Linked DNA regions of Pelodiscus sinensis. The protein of the gene in region 1 purifies or fractionates together with the protein of each later gene. This does not show direct contact. Links are inferred from orthologs where the notes say so. Each region holds a gene or a part of one and is shown in the gene's direction. Other genes may lie near its edges. The genes, in order: SLX4 and SLX4IP.

Region 1 (9,689 bases):
GACTGCTGTGGAGAAAGTAAATTAGGACGTTTTGTTTACTTCTCAACACACGGACTGGGGGGCAACAAATGAAATTAAAAGGCAGCTTGTTTAACACAAACAAAAGAGAGTATTTCTTCAGACAGCTCAGTCAACCTGTGGAACTCCTTGCCAGAGGATATTGTGAAAGGCAAGACTTAGACCAGGGTTCAAGAAAGAACTAAATCAAGTCATGGAGGGTAGGTCAATCAATGGCTGTTGACAGGGAAGGTGTCCCCAGCCTCTTTCAGAAAGTGGGAATAGGTGATGGGACGGATCACTTGATGACTACTTGTTGTTTGTTCCTTCTGGGGCTCCTGACATTGGCCACTATTGGAAGACAGGATACTGAGCTACATGGATCTTTGGTCTGACCCAGTATGGCCGTTCTTATCGGGCTTTTTCACACATTCCAGGGGTACTGCAACCCTGTGCTGATTTCTCATTCCATTGCAGGCATGCACTGATCAAAAAACTCGATCAACTGAGGGTCAGCCAGCCTGACTTGGCCCAGCTGCTGCTTGATCAGGTGAGGGCCATGTTTGCACCATGCTCCCTGAGCAGGCTACCACATCTGTGGGCAGTAAGGGAGTGGACCAAGGCTGTCTTGTGGCCAACTGGAATCATGTACCCAGTGATCCCCACTCTCGGTATTTTTAGTACGCAGTGACCATTTCCCTAGAATGTTTTGGTGTCATCCAGGGATGGGTCTGTGTTGCTCATTCTGGCCTACTACAATTCGTGTCTGGTGCAGAGCTGAGAACGATGCTGTTTACACCAGAGTGGGCAGCACTAGTGGGGGGGGGGGGGAGGGAAGGAAAGGAAAGGAAAGGAAAGGAACCAAGCAGAAAGAATTCATAGGCAGTACCTGACATTTAAGATGGCTCTCTTGAAGTGTGGAGGGATGGTAATTGTGTCTGAAACTGAACAGGGCTCCAAATGGCACCTCACATTCATACACTCGGGGCATGGAGTGCTGGAGAGCCACCAAGGTGGCTCCTGTTGCTAACAACATCTCTTCTCTGTGCCTTTGTCTCGCTCAGATTTATGAGAATGCCATGATAGCAGCAGGACTGAATGATGACCCCAGACCTATGGTGAGCCGTCTAAATGAGCTCCTTACCAAAGCCCTGGAAAAACACTGATCCCCAAACTGATCGAAGGGGCAAGCTCTGTGCCAGGTATCAGCCGCAGTTCCTTCAAGCACAACTTCCACTGTCAGCTGATGGAACAGCCGTCTGGTCCCAGACTCCGTACAGTGAGACTAGAATCTCTGCAGGTCTGCGTGGCACATGAATGTGCTCCCAAGTTTCACTTTAGAGAGAGGTTCCAGTTGTAAGTACTGGGCTGTGTATTACCCTTCCGGAATGGCATCATCCAGCTGAGATCAAAACCAGGAGATTATCGCTAAAATGATTTGCCAGGATTTCTGAGGTTGGCTCCAAAGTTCTAATTTCATATTGATTCCAGAAACAGTCTTTCCCAATAGCAAAATTGACATCAGGAGTCCACACTAGCTCCATGAAACAGCCCCAGATACCCATTCAGGAATTTGCCCTTGTACACTGTGGGCTCAGAACACCAGCTTCGGCCGAGCAAAATGAGTTTGTCACAAAACTTCCACCCAGTGGTTAGCAGGCACCGGGATAGATGGTTGCCATTAACAAACATAGGTCGGAGTGGTGTGGCAGATAAGGTAGCTGAGCCACTGGATAACTGAACTCATCTCTGTATCTGGGGATATATTTGACAAGCTCACTTGGCATTTTGAACAGTTTTTCCAGGGTTTCTGCCTCCCTTGTGGTATAATTGGCATGCCCTAGGTAATCGCTGTTCTGCTTATTTATGTTAAATAAATTCTTCATTTAATGATACCTTCACCAGGGGAATTTGCCTTATTTTTCTCTGTTGTGCCCCAGCTCTGATAGCATGACAGTTCATATCCTTTCACACACTCCCCAATGCTGAGAGGCAGCAGCGTCCTAGAATGGTGGGGAAGAGCTCCTTCTGCCAGTGGTGTGGGGGATGGGGAAGGCCATATAGAAGGAATTGGAAGGGAAGTAGGAGGCGAGTCCCTGAGCTATGAACCCTAATTCTTGTCCTTAAGGTACTAAGAGCTAAACTCCAGGTTTTTAACATGTGCTAACTACCCAGCAGAAAGGGCCTGAGAGAGACAAGCTACCATGGTCCTCTGTTTTTCTGTTTCACCGGGCAGTTGAGCTCAGTGTACAAGATTTTTTTTAATAACCAGTAGCATTGCAAACTCAGTGTGGGCTCTTACTGGAGAGTTCAGGATGAATCAGAAATAAGATTCTATAAGTAGAACTTGGTTAATGATTCTGGTGCCATGTGAGCCAGCATAGAATCAGCTCTCTCCCAGAGATACTTGAGCTCAGCAGGTGAACACAAATAAGCAGTAAAAACTTGTCACTAAACCAGCATTTTGTGATGCTGACCAGACAAAATTGAAGAGTAATGTTGTCATTTTTTAAATACCATAAACTTACCTCAGCCTTTGGGAAGATCAGAAAGTAGAGCCTTTCACCTTTCCATCTCTAGGATTAACTCAGACTAGCATCGTCAATGTGTGAAGTCTGTTCAGTGTCTATATGGTGGATCATGAGCCAGCTCTGCTTAAGGTATATGTAGCATCTTGTTGCTGTTTAGTCATTTAAATAAATACCACCCAGTAAATTGGACTTACTTATGGTCTGCATTATACTGTATATAATACTAAGGTCATGTCTACAGTACATGGAAGATTGATACTGCTGCGGTTGATCTTCTGGGGTTCAATTTAGCTAGTGTCGTGAAGATGCACTAAATTGAACTCAGAGGGTGTTTCCCTCAGCACCAATAAGGTGGTGTGGCGGGTATCCCCTGATCCTGCACCTCTGTCCGCAGCAAGATGAGACTCCGCCAGCCAGTAGAATAGAGAGGGTTTATTGGTTCTCCAGGATACAGTACAGAATTGACGTCATATGGTTACAGGAGTCAGGGCCAGGCAGCCTTGGACCCCTTGGGATAGGGGTCCACTAGCCCCTCAACCCCCAGTATTCAGCTTAGTCTCTTCATGTTTTTCCAGCAAAGACTGCCCTTCTCCAAGCCACACCCTTCTGTTGTTCAGATCCCTTTCCTCATCAGGTGAGAACTGGTTGGACCATGAACTACATGAGGAGAGCCTCCAGGCGACCCCCCCCCCCCCCCACTGGGCAGTGCTTACAGATGCAGGCCAGTAGGGGTCACCTGCAGCCCCCACTGCAACCAGTGAATGCCCAACCAGAGTGGACCTACAACCACTAGAGTAAACAGCCCCCCACTACGTCACACCTGCTCCTAGTGAGGAGTATAATGGAAGTAGCCGGGAGCGTTTGCTGGCATCAACCTCCTGCTGTGTGGATGGCAATTTAAGATGCATCGACTCCAGCTATGTAACTAACATAGCTAGAGTTGTGTATCTTAGGTCATCCTTCTGCCCTAGTGTTGAGCGGGCCCAAGAGTATAAATGAGGCAGTTCAAATTCTGGGGTCAGGCAAAACCTAAGGCTACATCTACAGTGGCAGCTTCTTGCGCAAGAACTCTTTTGCGGAAGAGTTCTTGTGCAAAAAATCTTCCACAAGAGCGTGTCCACAATTCCATGTGCTTTTGCACAAGAGATGTGCTTTTGCGCAAGAGCATCCATGGCAGTGTGGACACTGATGGTCATTTTAACCATAGGGGCTTCTTTCACAAGAAATTCATGTTGCCTGTCTACACTGCCCTCTTGTGGATCAGCTCTTGTGGGCTAATTCCTCATGGGGAGAGGAATAACTCTTCAGGAAGAAGCCCTGTTTTACAACGCTATACTGTAAACTTACTTGTGCAAGAATGCTCCTGCAGTGTAGACAGCAGGCAAGTTTTTGCGCAAGATCAGCTGTTCTTAGGCTATGTCTACACTGGCAGCTTCTTGCCCAAGTGTTCATGTAATTAACGGGTAATAAATTAGGCTCTTAACCATCCTTTTTTCTGAGGCTGGTCAGCTGACCCACAGGTAGCACTAAGGAGTCAAATACATCCTTAACATAGGCAATGCCAAATAGTTATAGACGGTGAAATCCAGTTTGGAAGGATGTGTCTGAGACCCTGTGCTTTGGGACTTGGACAGAATCCCTTGAAGGTCTGGCTGGGACTTTGAGACTGGACCAGCTCAAAGTAGTTCCCTGGGCTACGTAACTGAGAACAGAGCTTTGTTCATCCAGACTTCCTGCTAAAACATTCAAGAGAGTGTCTTGGGTAGAGTCCAGCGTTGTGATTTACAGACAAACCACAGGCCAGGAATCTGCACTCTAAGCTCCTTCACCAGCAACTGTTTAAAACATTAAGGGAGGCTATTGTTTCCAAAAGCAGAGAACTCGGGAGCCATTAATAATACTTAGTAATTCTGTTTATGCTTTGCAAACACTAATTCTCCCATCTCCTTCGTGAAGTTAGTCATTACTGTCTATTTAACTAGTGGCAAAACTAGCACTGAGGGTAAATGAATTGTTCAAGGGCACACAGTGAATCTGAGCTAGGGCCTAGATCCCAGAAATCCTAAATACATTTCAATAAAAAAATGGAACCAAGTCATTTGAGATGTACAGCCATTGCCAGAGTTTCTAGCCCAGCAGCTCCGGAGCCTTTTCTCCCAAGAGAATTCCTGCCTGTTCTCTGGTTCAGCTTTAATGTTTGAAAACTGAGGCACCTTTCAGCTCTATCAACTGTGACAGGTTGGAACCCCCCTCCACACACACACCACGCTGCCATCTGATATGCTAGTTTCCGCTGCACCAGGTTGCTCTTAGACCCATCCAGCACACAAGCAGGCAAAAGCAGCCCCCACAGCAGGGGCTGGAGTAACCTTCAAGGCCACAGTAGGTCTGGGGCCAGAGCAGCCCTTGACATCTGAAGTCATGGCACAGCTGGGGCTGGAGCAGCCTGTCCTGCCACTGGGTGGGGCTGCTCCAGGGTTAACTCTGAAACCTAGCACTTAACTGGTTAACATTTTAAAAGTTAATTAACATCCCTGCATTCAGCAAAGCCACTCAGGACACAGTCCTGAAAGGCTCCTCCCTTCCATGGAAACCACAAGGAAGCTCACCTTTGTTTCAGTAAGCACAAGTACCATGGGTGTCGAAAAAAATCTCGGTCCTCCTAGGGTGGCCCCTATACAACGGAAACTTTGTGGTCCCCGGGATATTCCTGTGAGACTCCTTATTGCCAGATCACGGGGCTTAGCCAAGGGGAACGACGGATCTGTTGTCAGCACGCTGGTACCCGTGAACAGGGCGAGTTCCCTCTAAGGCTGTGGTGCTGGGGGCGCGCAGTAAGCACGGATTCCCCAGTGGATGGCAAAGCTAAGAGGGGCCATTGGAGCGCTCCTGCTGCCTCATTAAACTCCCCGCAGGAGCCGGGAGCTGTGACTGGAGAGCCGTTCCGCACTCGCCCGTCTGCGCGTGACCGTTTAACCGACAAAACGCTCGCGCGGGCCCAACCTGGCTGAGCCGTTAGCAGCCGGTCGAGCCGAGGTGCCTCCGGAGCACGCGCAGCAAGGGGAGGGGCCGCGCATGCGTACAGAACGAGGTTTGGGAGGTGGCCTTTGTGTAGCGATGATGGGGGTTTACGCATGCGCGAAGAAGCCAGACGACGGAAAGCGGCCCACGAATGCTACCCGCTAACGGCCGCCGTTTCTTCTACGCATGCGCCACAGATTCTGCGCGTGCCTTTTGGGCGGAATGTGCTGCCGCCCGGCTTAGTACCCAGGGGTGCGGAGCTGCCGCCCAGCAGAGGTCAGAGGGTCCGGGGGAGGCCGGGACGAGACGATGTAGCGGGGGGAAGATTCTCTGTTGCGTTGTCAGCGGCTGGCGCAACTTCTGGTTCCCATGGAGACGTTGTCAGGCAGCACTGCCGTGATGTCACAGTGCCCGCTGTGATGTCATAGTGCCATCGCTGTCACGTAGCACCGCTCGGCGGCTTTGGCGTGAGGGGCGATGGTGGGAAATGTGGCGCCCCCAGCAGTGCGGGTGGGAATCCCAGCCGGTCGCACCCCACAACCCTTCCCTCCCGGCCCGGGCCGGGTAACGAACCGTGCTAGACCAAGTCTCTGTCCAGCATCAGCCCGGGGATCCGTAGCTCGGGTCTAAGGCCAGTGGAAACGGCGCTGCGCCATTCAGCCTGGTGTTCCAGGGTTTTAAACAGTGGCAACACCTTGAAGAGGAGTTGTGGGGGGCACGTATGACAGCGTGGGATTTGGTGAACAGATCTCCTTAAAAGCACGCGCAAAGCCACTGCTAAATTAGCCACTTTTTAGTACACCGCTCTAAAATTGTTGGCTTGCAAAAGCCGTGCTTGGCAGTGCACGGTTAAAGTCTATCAAATAATTACTGGTGAAGAAAATGTAGGTCAGGCGTTTCTGTTCTCCCAGGCGTACAATTCAGGAACAAGGGGATATCTATGGAATTAAAACATTGGCACATTAACACAAAATTCACAGGTTTGCCAAAGAGGCCATAACATTAGCAACATTCAAAAAGAGATTGAACATTTATATGGCTAACAAAGACTGTCCAATAGATAATGGTAACCATGCCAAAATTTTGAAAGATGCAAACTTCATGTGTCTGTGCTCAAACCAACCTTGTTAACTATTAGGGTGAGGCTGTCATGGTGGCAGATCATCCCACAGCTTCATAATGAGGTGTTTATGCATCTTTCTCTGAAGCATCTGATACTAGCCATCATTAGGAGGGTGGAGATGGATGGCAGGAGAGAGATCGCTTGATCATTACCTGTTCGATTCACTCCCTCTGGGGCACCTGGCATTGGCCACTGTCGGCAGACAGAGTACTGGGCTGGATGGACCTTTGGTCTGACCCAGTATGGCCATTCTTATGTTAGAAACAGCACATCAGACTAGATCGATCGCAGATCCAGTCCAGTGTGGCAGTTCCTATATTCTGTAGCAGCAGTTCTCAAACTGTGAGTCCGGACTCCAAAATGGGTCTTGACCCAATTTTAATAGAGTCTCCAGGGCCAGCCTTAGGCTTGCTTGTACCTTAGGCTGAAGCTGAAACCTGAGCTCCACCCACACCTAGGGCAGCGTGGCTCCAGGGTGGTGGAGCTTAGGCTCTGGTCCCTTCTCTCTGTCCCCCTCTCCTCCTCCCTGGAATGGCAAGTCTCTGGCTGTGTTCTCTCCCCCCACACCTAGAGCGGTGGGGAGCAGGCTCTGTCCCTTTCTTCCACCTGAGTAACTCTGTTGTCAGAAAGGGATTGGGGTGCAGTGAAGTTTGATAACCCCTAGTCTATACTATTGTTCTGTGGATTGACTATTTCATTATCTAGCATGGCATCTATTCCTAGCATTATGTTCAGGAAAAGTTAAATTTATATTAGTTTAAAAAAAAAAGCCAAAACAATTTTGCTATGTAGGGCCTGCTTCTCCTATCAGAAATGCTGTTGACTTCATTAGAGTTAAACTGGTAAGAGAGAGGAATCAGGCCTTTTGTGCAGATTCTGTGTGTAACCAAGCTAGGCATAGATAATAAGCCCCATTAGCAATTTGCGGTAAAAATTAAAATGTGGGATTTTGTTAAAAATTGCATGGATTTTCCTTGAGCTATCGCAGCTCTCTCTTATCGTCACAGATATTTATAGCCGTCAGATTCGTAGTTACTTGTTTCACTCAGCTTTGTACTATTGCTTAACTGTAGCAGATGCAGGTTCACTCAGACCATATTACCTGGGGATGCAGCAGTTGCATTCTCTCTGCAGCATCTTCAAGGCAGCAAAGTGGAAATCTACCTTTCACTTCCAAGATCAGAAGGGATTAGATACCAAAAGAGCCGATCCTGGCTGGAAAAGCAAGGGATGTGGTGATTTAAGACAAAAGCTTTTGTCCTGTTATTGCGGACATTCACATGCTGAACTTTATTGTCAGCTCTGCCACTGGTCTCGTGGGTGACCATGGGCCAGTCACCTTCCCCCTCCCTTTCTGTCTCAGTTTCCCAATCTGTAAAATGGGGTTAATGATACTGACCTCTTTTGTAAAGTGTGTCAGGATCTACTGATGAAAAGCACTGTATAAGAGCTAGGTATTATTATTAGTTATCAGGTAGTTGAATTGACTGATGTATGGTCCATCTGTCCCTATGTCCTTACTTCCAACAGTGGCTTATGCAACATGCTTCAGAGGTTACGAACAGAACAGGGCAATAATAAAGCGATCCATCTCCTAGCATCCAGTCCCAACTTCTCTCAGACAGAGATTTAGTGGCACCTCTGACCATCTGAGCTAATGCATTCATGGACCTATCCTTCATCATCTTTTTCAATGAGTTCCACAGATAGTGTTAAGAAGTACTAACTCAGTGAAATTAAGGGCTCTCTGGTTCTTATGTTAGAAGAGGGGTAAATAACACTTCACTTTCTCCATACCATTAGTGATTTTATAAGCCTTTATCATATCCTGCTTTAGTCATCTCTTTTCTAAAATGAGCAGTACTCTTGGGTTTTTTTTGTTTGTTTGATTGTTTGGTTTGCTCTTCTCTCTTTTTTCAGATTTTAAGATATCTTTTTTGTGATGAGGTGACCAAAACTGCATTCTGTATTCAAGGTGTGGGCATATTATAGATTGATGTAGTGACGTTATATTTTCTTATTTATCTCTTTCCTAGTTATTCCTAACATTCTTTTGGCTTTTTTGATTGCCGTTGCACATTAAGATGTTTTTTGCAACCCCAGGGATGCAGAGAAGCCATGCCTTGTGAACAGTGTAGCAGTACAGTGAGTCTGCCATACTATGGTTACAAAGGATATTACTGTGATGAGCATGACATACAAGCCTATGTAGCACTGAACTGAGAGAGACTGCATGAGGGAAGGTCTGTGAGAGGCTCCTCAGGAAGGTCTGCTGTAGATCTGTGGGTTTCTCTCCAGCAGCAATGGGAAGTACTGAGGGCTGTAGGAAAGCTTATGGCTACAGTACTTGGGCTGGAAATATTCCAGGGGGTCTCTTTCTGCTGTGGGTTCCAGCACAAATACCAATTCTTTCCCCATGCTGTGTTTTGACTGGCGTGATTGAAAACTCTGCTTCCAAGCTTCCAGGTCCTCTGTAATAAGTCTTCAAGGGAGGGGAAGTAATATTTATGGTTCCAGCACAGCAGCACAGAGCCCTCCCTCTTCCTGGGATCTTTCTATAATTAGAAAACTAGTTACTTATGGAAAAAGAAACATTTAATTCCATTTTTGAGGAATGAAGTGCTTCCAACTTTCCCTCTATTTTGATCCTTCTCTTGAGACCTCCTTAAGTCTTTCAGGGACCATGTGCCACTGCTTTCTAGGTCTGCTGTTGAGTGAGGTAATGCATTCGTCCAGTCATGGCTGTGCTGCTTTTTTCGCAGTCCAAGCTCTGTCTGGCGCCAGACTGTTAACTCAGTCCAATTCTCCTGCACTTCAGTGTGAGGCACTGCAGCTGTATCATCAGTTCCTCATAGATCTCCAAAGCTGGAGTCCCCTCCTGCAACCCAAAGCTCTCAGCCCCACCCTGGAGCCCACACTCTAGTCACATTATGTTGGGTTGCGGGCATCAACAATTTTCTTCAAGATGAGGAAAAAAAAGTTTGAAAACCCCTGATATAAAATATGTGTGTGTGTGG
Region 2 (9,368 bases), on another chromosome or scaffold:
TCTGTCAGTACTCACTCTCAGAGCCTATATTAATGGTCTTGGGTTCATGTTTTGGAGCTACAAAAAAGTTGTGTAGACATTTCCGCTTGGGTTCTGAACCTCGTGAAGGGGTGGGTCTCACAGCCTTAGTGGGAATGCCTACATAGATATTTTTACCTCCATAATGTGATCCTGAATCACCTAATTCAAACTCCAAGACTGGCTGCTACAGGTTCTGGGTTTTCTTTGCAGTGAGGTCTCATCCTAAGCAGCATTCCCTGTAAGGTGAGCGCTTGGGTGGCCACCCAGCAGAGATGCAGATGCCACCCACCTGATTAGTAGAGTGCCCACAGCTGCTCACAGTAGACAGCACATGTTTCTACTGGTGGTGCACATAACCAAATGTATTCTGCCCCTGGAAGGAAAAATTTGAGGGAACATTGACTGAGGATGTTAAATTGAACATAACTGACTAGTCAAGTAGTCAACGGAATTTCTCTGACTACTCAACTAGTCGACAGGCACTTCAGCATTCCTCCTTTGAAATGTACAAGAACCTCCAGTGGGTGGAACACAGCGTGCTGCAGGAAGTCCCGCTGACTCCAGGCTGCACACAGCATGCCAGCTTTGAAATGTACAAGAGTTCCCAGTGGAGGCTCCTGTGATTTCAAAGTGGAAGCGCCCTCATGGACCCTGGGCTCCATGTTGCACTGCCGCTTTGAAATACCACCAGATCCCAGGGTCAGCTGGGAGTTCCCAGCTGATCCTGGGTTCCGCAGAAATGCTGTGCAGACCCCAGCTGACCCTGGACTCCAGGCAGCGCTGCTGCTTTGAAACTCCGTCTTGGTGTTTCAAAGGAGCAGTGCCACATAGCTGAGCCGGGCTCAGCTGTGTAGTGTTGCCCTTTGAAGTACTCCCTCTTCCCCCCGCTTTGCTGCCTCTGATAGAGGCAGCGGGTGGAAGGAGGGAAGGAACTGACTAGTCGACTAGTTTTTAACATCTTTAACACTGATCCTAAGTGACTTTCTCTAAATGTCACTGAACTTCAGTGTCAGTCAAATAAAATCCAGGCCTCCGGTTGCCCAACCTCATGCTTAGTTCACAAAAGAACATATGCTACATTTACCCCTATCCCTCTCAATGCTGTTCCTGATCATTAACATACTTCTGCTGTAAAACCAAAAGCTTCAATACCTATCTGAATGGCATCATTAACCTGAAAATATTTTATTATATCCTTTTACAAGTTTTAGTGAATAACTTCGCTTTCCCCACAAAACAAATCACTCATACTCACAAGAAGTCCTACTGTTGGCAAGAGTTCAGATTTTAAACTCTCTGTCAGGCTCTCATTAGCTTTAGTAATATAAGCTTCTTGTGCTAGATTTACTTTTGGGGGAATTCTGCACCATTGCAGATGCAGAGAATTCATGTGCCACACAGAATTTTTCTTTCCCCAGCAGACAATACATCCTGTCAGAAAGGTGTTGTAGTTACTCCTTTCATCCATCAGGAGCCACTGTTATACCAGAACAGAGCAGCCCCTGCAAAGAGGCTGCAGTCCCATCTGAGGATAGCTGCATTCGTCGTGGTGCCCTGCCTATGGGGCCATGTCAGGAGGCATGGGATATCAAGGGATAGACAGCATACGAAATATGGGAATGCTGAGGGTGTGTGTCACAGAGAAGTGTTCAGAATTTCTAGGGGGACAGACTGGGACAAAAGCTGACTGGCAATATGAGTAGGCTGCAGAGAATATTAGGAGTAAGCTATGAGGAAAGAAAAACAAACAATGAGACCAGTAAAATGACTAAAAAGTGAGGTCTCTATCACAAATAATTTGTAAGAAGACATCAATGGCTAGGGCAGGGCAGGGCTGGGCAAAAGATAATGTGGGCCGTTGATCACTTACAAAATTCTTGGAGAGGCCCCCCATCAAAAATTATTTCCTACTCCTGGGCTAAGGCATATTTTACAAAGGATCATAACTGACTACCAATTATGGCTCTCAGTTGGAGGCCAGAAAATCTAACAAGAAAGAGGGGTAGGCCTAGGATGACTTGCAAGCATACAATCATCAATGACATAAAACTATTTAATTTGAAATAGGACTTAGGTCACATGGCAGCTGATAAGCAAACCTGGAGAATGTGGGTAGCCCAATGTACTGAAAAGTATGGGATAGATTAAGATCTAAGGGACTGCAGTTTAAATTAATTAATCAGAATTCCATATTAATGTCTAGTAAGGAATTTATTCATAATTCTCTCCCCCCTCCCATTTCCTGAATCTTATCTTTACTGTTATATAGTTACTGGCAGGTATTTTGAAATAAACCAGGGAAGTAATTTGAACTGGCATGATTATATTGTTATTTTGACAAATGAAATATGCAGAATTTAAAAATATCATGTGAGTAATGTATTTTTTTGTATAGAATTTCCCCAGTATATATTGTTCAAGATAATGCATTATTATTAGACAGGAATCTGAAAACATAAAAATGATGGGAGCACTGGTGTTTTTTACTTTTTAACTCCCTACTTTTCTGGGGATGGGGGCTTGGGGTAGTGAGTTGAGGTGGAGGGTGGAAAGAAAATAGGAGGAGAGATAAGCAACTACTCTTCTGGAGTTGAAAATTTTTTGAAGGGTTGTTATAAAACAAGTCTTATCTCTAGAACTAGTTAGATCTTTCCCCCACCAAGCTGCAATATTTTCAGATACTTGAAACACCCTAACGACAGGGCTATACTTAAAAAGGTCTGCTGGAATAGCTGCAAACCCTCCTACGATAGATGCAGGAAAGAACAGTTTGGGCCAATGCAGCTCTTACCAATATGGCAAGCAAAATAAGATATACAACCCTAAAGCAATTTTATGCTGGTATAATTGCATCTACCACAGGACTTTGGTAACTATAGACATGTCACAAATACACACATCCCTACTCTTATGGACAAAACTGTATGCTGTAGAGTTGTTCTAAGTCATAGACTGCATTATGACAGGCTCTGAGAATTGGTAGTCTTCCCAATATTATACATGTGTCTGTGCAGTAGAAGGGTATAGTGTTGATAAACATCTCCTCTTAAAACACTTTGAAATATATACCTGACAAGCACCACATGACAGCTAAGCATTACCATTGTCAGGACTAAAGCTAACTGAAAATAATCCAACAATTTCTCAATTTCCCCTTCTCCATAAAGTTTCAAAACATGATACAAATTAATCAGCTGTACTAATATGTGAAATGCTGCTGCAAACTCCCCAAGATAGGAAAGTGAAGAAAGGACTGTTTCTAAATCTTTGAATCTTAGCTTCTTGACTGTGTGCTTTAGGACAGGGGTGTCCAAACTTTTTTCAAAGAGGGCCAGATTTGATGAAGTGAACATGCGTGAGGGCCGACCATTTTGCCTGACATTCTTTGAACCATTACAATTAAATGCAAATTAACTATTTTATGCAAAGTTTATTGCAAACGGCATACTTTTCATTTCGTTACATGGATGACAAATCTAAACAGGTGTTAAATCACTCTGCCTTTCATATCTGAAGGCCAGATGAAAAAAAAAATCCAGGAAGCTGAAATATATGTCAGGAACATTGTAAAGTACATTACATATTATTGGTAATAAAGGTTGTCTGTCAACTTTTAAGTTCAAAAAATATGAACAGGAACATAACACCAAGTATAAATGTTGTGTCCAAATATATTTATAACTGATTTAGACCAACTGACATTAACTGAGATTTTACAATGTATTCATCTCAATACATATGGATTCGTTGGGGACCATAAAAGATAGATATTGCCAAATTACCTGGGGGGCTGTATTAAACCAGAACATGGGCCGCAATTGGCCCGTGGGCCGGACTTTGGACATGCCTGCTTTAGGAGCTGTACACAGAATACCACCACTAGGATACACAGTGAGTGGTGGTGTTCATGTAAGATTTTCTTTGCTTCAGGCCAGGTCTACACACTAGACCTGTAAAGTCAGCTTAAGGTACACAACTCCAGCTACGTAAGCAACATAGCTGGAATCGACATACCTTAAGCCAAATCTGGCACTGTCTCCATACTCCAAATGGTTTGGTCGGCTTCCCTTACTCCTCAAAAGGAGCAGAACGGGCACTGACCCCCATTGTCTGATTTAGCAGATCATTACTAGACCCACCAAATTGAATGCCAAAATATCGATTTCCGGTGTGTCAAGTGGAGACATGGCTTCAGATTGTAACAGGAGTTTGCAAAGGGCACTGGACTAGGACTCTCAACACCTGGGCTGGATATTGGGCTCTGATACACAACTCCTCTGTAACCCACTCTCTAGGGACTGCTGTTCAAGTGTGGAAGAGAAAAAACCGAGCCTGGCAGGCCATTACGCACCAGGCAGTCCTAAAGGCTGCACAGGCGGGGGGCTGCTAGAGATGGGACACTGAGGCTCCCGGGGGGGTCAAACTGTCTCTCCTCAGGTGCTTGTCTGGGTGGCTCTTGCTCCAGCGGAGGTCTGAGGAGGAACTGGAAAGGAATCCCCCGAGCTCAGGCTGGCCGGGACCATGACGCTTTCCTGCAGCACAAGGCAGCCGCCATTCGCCACTCTGCCCCGGGCATCCCTCGCTGACTCATTCCCCTGCCAGGGCGGTGGGGTGGGAGGAGCTGATCCCGGTCCCGTCTATTCCCGGCCCGTAGCGCTCAGAGGTGGGGTGCAACGTGTGTGGGGCACGCAGAGCAGAGACGCTCGTGAGGACACGGTGTGAATGGCGGGTGCAGGGCCTGCTCCCATTGACTCCAGCTTCCCTCCCCCCGGGGCAAGCTGTGTCCACGGGGAAGGGAACCAGCCCCGCTTCGCCCGCACTCTCCGCCCCGCCCCCCCCCTCTCCTGCTCACCTCCGCTCGCAAACCCCCCGCCAACTCGCCCTCGCGGGGTGACCAACCGCCCGCAGCCAACGGCCGCCACTGTCCGCGCCCGCGAGAACGCCAAGAACCCTCCGCGGCACCGGCGCGGGTCCTTTGGTAGGGAGAGGAGGTGGCTAATCAAATGCCTGTTTGACCACTCAGAGTCAGCCTCCCCCCCAGAACAGAGCCTAACGGGGATTTCAAAATGATTCCTGCTACAGAAAACGCCCGGTCAACGGAACTTGGGTTTTTTTTTTTTTGAGGCCAAGTCCCTCAGGCATCTTTATAGACACCTACATAATACAACACTCCCCTCCCCCCATGTGTCGGAGGAGGAAGGTCCCATGCCGTCCGTGCCCCTCTGAGGGGGGGATGGGTTATGGACCCAGCGACGACTCAGCCCTTTTCTAACCGTTGGGGATAACTCGCAATGCGTTTAGCGAAACACCAAAATTGCATTGGCCGCCCGGGTCACGTGACGCAGGAGAAGCCAGGCAGGGAGCTGCCGTTCCAGGCGGAATGCATGCCGGGAGTGATTGGGTCGCCATTTCGGACGGCGGCAAGGAGACGCCCGCTCGGCGGCCATTTTGAATGGGGGCAGAGAGGCGCCACCGAGCCGCCATTTTTAGTAGGGGCAGAGAAGCCGGGGGTGGCGAGCGAGAGCGTGGCACGCGGTGCGGGGAGGGGCTGGAGCGTGAGTAACCCCCCCCCCCCAACACGGGTGGATACGGCCCTGGTCCTACTGCAGGATAACTCGCCCCCCCATAGACCCCCTCGGCATTCCCCCCGCAGACCTACCCCTACTAGCGCTGCCCCCAGGCATTCACCCCCGACCTCCCCGCTGCCTTTGCGCGCCCCCCAAGCCTACCACTGCTGCCCCCAGGCGTTCACCCCCAACTGCTCTGTCCCTTTCCATGCACCCCAAATCTATCCCCTGCTAGTGCTGTACCTTTTGCATTCACCCCCCGGCTTTCCTGCCAATTTGCATTAACCTAACGGCTACTGTTACCCCCTTTGTATTCGCCCCCAACTTCCCTGCCCCTTTGGCATTCACCCCCAAGCTACCATTGGACTGTTGTTTGTCCCCGTTAGATTCACCCCCATTTTCCCTCCCCCTTTGCATTCATTCCCAAACCTACCATTGCTAGTGTTATCTGTCCCCTTTGCATTCAGTCTTCAAACTTCCCTGCCCCTTTGGCATTCACCCCCAAGCTACCATTGGACTGTTGTTTGTCCCCGTTAGATTCACCCCCATTTTCCCTCCCCCTTTGCATTCATTCCCAAACCTACCATTGCTAGTGTTATCTGTCCCCTTTGCATTCAGTCTTCAAACTTCCCTGCCCCCTTTGCATTCACCCCCAAGCTACCATTGGACTGTTGTTTGTCCCCGTTAGATTCACCCCCATTTTCCCTCCCCCTTTGCATTCATTCCCAAACCTACCATTGCTAGTGTTATCTGCCCCCTTTGCATTCACCCCCAAACCACTGCACCACCATTGCTGTTTGAACTGGCATGATGAGATCCATGGATACACATGATGGCTACGTCTACACTGGCATGATTTTCCGGAAATGCTTTTAACGGAAAAGAGTTTCCGTTAAAAGTATTTCCGGAAAAGCGCGTCTAGATTGGCAGGACACTTTTCTGGAAAAGCACTTTTTCCGGAAAAGAATCCGTAGCTAATCTAGACGCGCTTTTCCGCAAAAAAGCCCCGATTGTCATTTTCGCGATCAGGGCTTTTTTGCGGAAAACACGACTGTGCTGTCTACACTGGCCCTTTTCCGGAACAGTTTTCCGGAAAAAGACTTTTGCCCAAACGGGAGCAGCATAGTTTTTCCGGAAAAGCGCTGATGATTTTACATTAGATTGTCAGTGCTTTTCTGGAAATTCAAGCGGCCAGTGTAGACAGCTGGCAAGTTTTTCCGGAAAAGTGGCTGATTTTCTGGATAACTTGTCAGTGTAGACACAGCCAATATGTTGGAGAAGAGCCAACATGGTTTTTGAAAAGGGAAGTGATGCCTCCCTATAACTCTTTGAGGAAGGTCAAAAATGGTGGACTAGGTTTATTCCATGGATATAGTGTGCTCAAACTTTCTGAAAGCCTTGTACAAGGTCCCTCAGGAAAGGCTTTTAAGCAAAGTAAGCACTTCTGGGCTAAGAGGGAAGGACCTCTCATGGATTGGTAGCTGTTTAAATGGCAGGAAACAAAGGATAGGAATAGTCAGTTTTTAGAATGCCAAGAGGTAATAGTGATAGAGATGCAACCGTGTTAGTCTGGTCTAGCTGAAAGAAAAGACAGAACTATGTAGCACTTTAAAGACTAACAAGATGGTTTATTAGGTGATGTGCTTTCGTGGGCCAGACTCCTGAAAGTTCATCACCTAATAAACCATCTTGTTAGTCTTTAAAGTGCTACAAAGTTCTGTCTTTTGTTTCAAGAGATAATAGTGGTATTCCCCAAGGATGTACACTGGGAATAGTACTATTCAATATAGCCATCAATGAGCTGGAGAAAGGAGTAAATGCTGAGGTGACAAGGTTTACTGGTAATACAAAATTACTCAAGTTAGCTAAGTCCAAAGAAGATTGTGAGGTGTTTCAAAGGGATCTCACAAATCTGGATGACTGGACAATGAGGATACAATTTCACACACTCCCAACTGTCCATACAAAATAACGGGGTTTAAATTAGTGATTAGCCTTCCAGAAAGAGACCTTGCAAACATTGTGGATAGTTCTGTGAAAACATCTGCTTAATATGCAGTAGGGAAAAGCTAACAATGTTAGGAACTATTAGGAAAGGGATAGAGAATAAGACAGTAAATATCATAATACCATTTTATAAATCCATGGCCTGCTCATAGCTTGAATATTGTGTTCAGTTCCGGTTGCACCATCTCAAAAAAGATGTATTAGAATTGGAAAGGGTACAGAAAAAGGCAACCAAAAGTATTAAAGATATGGAATAGTTTCATAGAATCATAGAATACTAGAACTGGAAGGAACCTTGAGGAGTCATCAAGTCCAGTTCCCTGCATTTCTGGCAGGACCAAGCACCATCTAGACCAGAGGTGGGCAATAATTTTTGCTGGGGGCCACTTCAAAAATTACTTACTCCTTCACATAACACAAGAACCGGGAGTCAGCCAATCAAATCAATAGGCAGAAAGTTTAAAATAAAATAAAGTACTTTTTTCACACAGTGCATTGTCAACCTGTGCAACTCATTTCCAGCAAATGCTGAAAAGCTCAAAACTATAACTGGGTTCAAAAAAGAATTAGATAAATTCATGAAGGATAGGTCTTTGAATGACTGTAAGCTAGTGGTTCTCAACCTGTGGCTCGTAGACTGTTTGCAACCCAATCAGCACACAGTTGTAGCCTATGTGAAATCCTCAGTGCCACACAGGTAGTATTGGATGTAGCCCACAAAACACAACAAGGGTAAATAGGTTGCCAACTCCTGTTATAAGCCAAGATATTCAGGGTTTTCACCCCATGGTTTGGGTGCCCCAAGTTTCAGATTGTGAGAAATTTGGGCTAAACAGAAGGGGGTGTAATTGCCCTCTGAAGCACTGGGCATTGGCTACTGTTGGAAAACATGATACTGATGAGCAAGAATGGTCTTATGTTCTTATGCCTGTCCCCTTTGCTTTCACCTACTCTATCCTTCCTTCCCTCTTTGCATTCACTATGCCAAACTTCCCTGCTCTCCTTCTGCTGCCCGCCCTCTTTTCAATCATCCCAACTTTCCATACTTCCTTTTCCTTCACTCCAAACTGCCTCATGTCCAATGTTGCTGCCTGCCCCTTTTCCTTTTTTTCCAAATTTCTACATCCCTTTTGCATTCTTCCTCCAAATCTCCCCACCCTTCTTGCATTCACTCTCCCAAACTGCCCCTAGTCTTGCGTTCCCATTTAGGATTCATCCCTGTCAACTTCCCCACTGCTAGTCCCCTTTGCATTCTCCCCAGATCTCCCTGCCCTTTTTGCGTTCACTCCCCCCCCCTCCCCCTCCTGCTTGCTACCATTGCATACATCCCAAACTAGCCTTAGTTGCTGGTGCTGCCCAGGCCTGTTTCATTCACTCCCCAAATCTCACTACTCCTAGTGTTGCTGTTTTCTTTGCAATCTCCTTTGCAGGAGTGAGACCAAGGCTGGGCCACCACAGCAGGAGTGGGGTCATGGCCAGATGGGGAATGGCGCTGGGCTGCCACAGCTGAAACTGTGGGCAAATGGGTCGATTTCAGACCCTCTCTGCAGAAGCAAGGCCAGGTCCAGACTCCTGTGGCAGGAGTGGGGCCTCTGCCAGCTCCTCCTGCGGCAGATCAGGGTCATGGCCGTGCTGCCACAGTTACAGCCCCGCTGGATAGGGACTGATTCCGCACCCCATATTCCAGCAGGAGTGGTGCCAGGAACTGTGACCAGATGGGAACTGCTGCCAGTCCCTCCAAGTACCCTGGCTGGGAGTATGTGCACCTCCCCT

Evidence for each region.
Region 2: the proteins of SLX4 (region 1) and SLX4IP purify together in Homo sapiens (affinity purification with mass spectrometry; 6 studies listed by BioGRID and IntAct, with this or other methods). This does not show direct contact. The link is inferred for Pelodiscus sinensis from reciprocal best matches to the Homo sapiens genes SLX4 and SLX4IP.

What each region holds. Positions count from the first base shown.
Region 1 is NC_134726.1:3,762,513-3,772,201, forward strand, and holds the start of SLX4 (structure-specific endonuclease subunit SLX4), read left to right. Parts: upstream 1-5,679; 5' UTR 5,680-5,825; intron 5,826-9,689. Other genes in the region: TRAP1 (heat shock protein 75 kDa, mitochondrial), read left to right, coding at 475-547, 1,062-1,163. UniProt on the Homo sapiens protein: Regulatory subunit that interacts with and increases the activity of different structure-specific endonucleases.
Region 2 is NC_134713.1:189,769,663-189,779,030, reverse strand, and holds the start of SLX4IP (protein SLX4IP), read left to right. Parts: upstream 1-5,186; 5' UTR 5,187-5,473; coding exon 5,474-5,576; intron 5,577-9,368.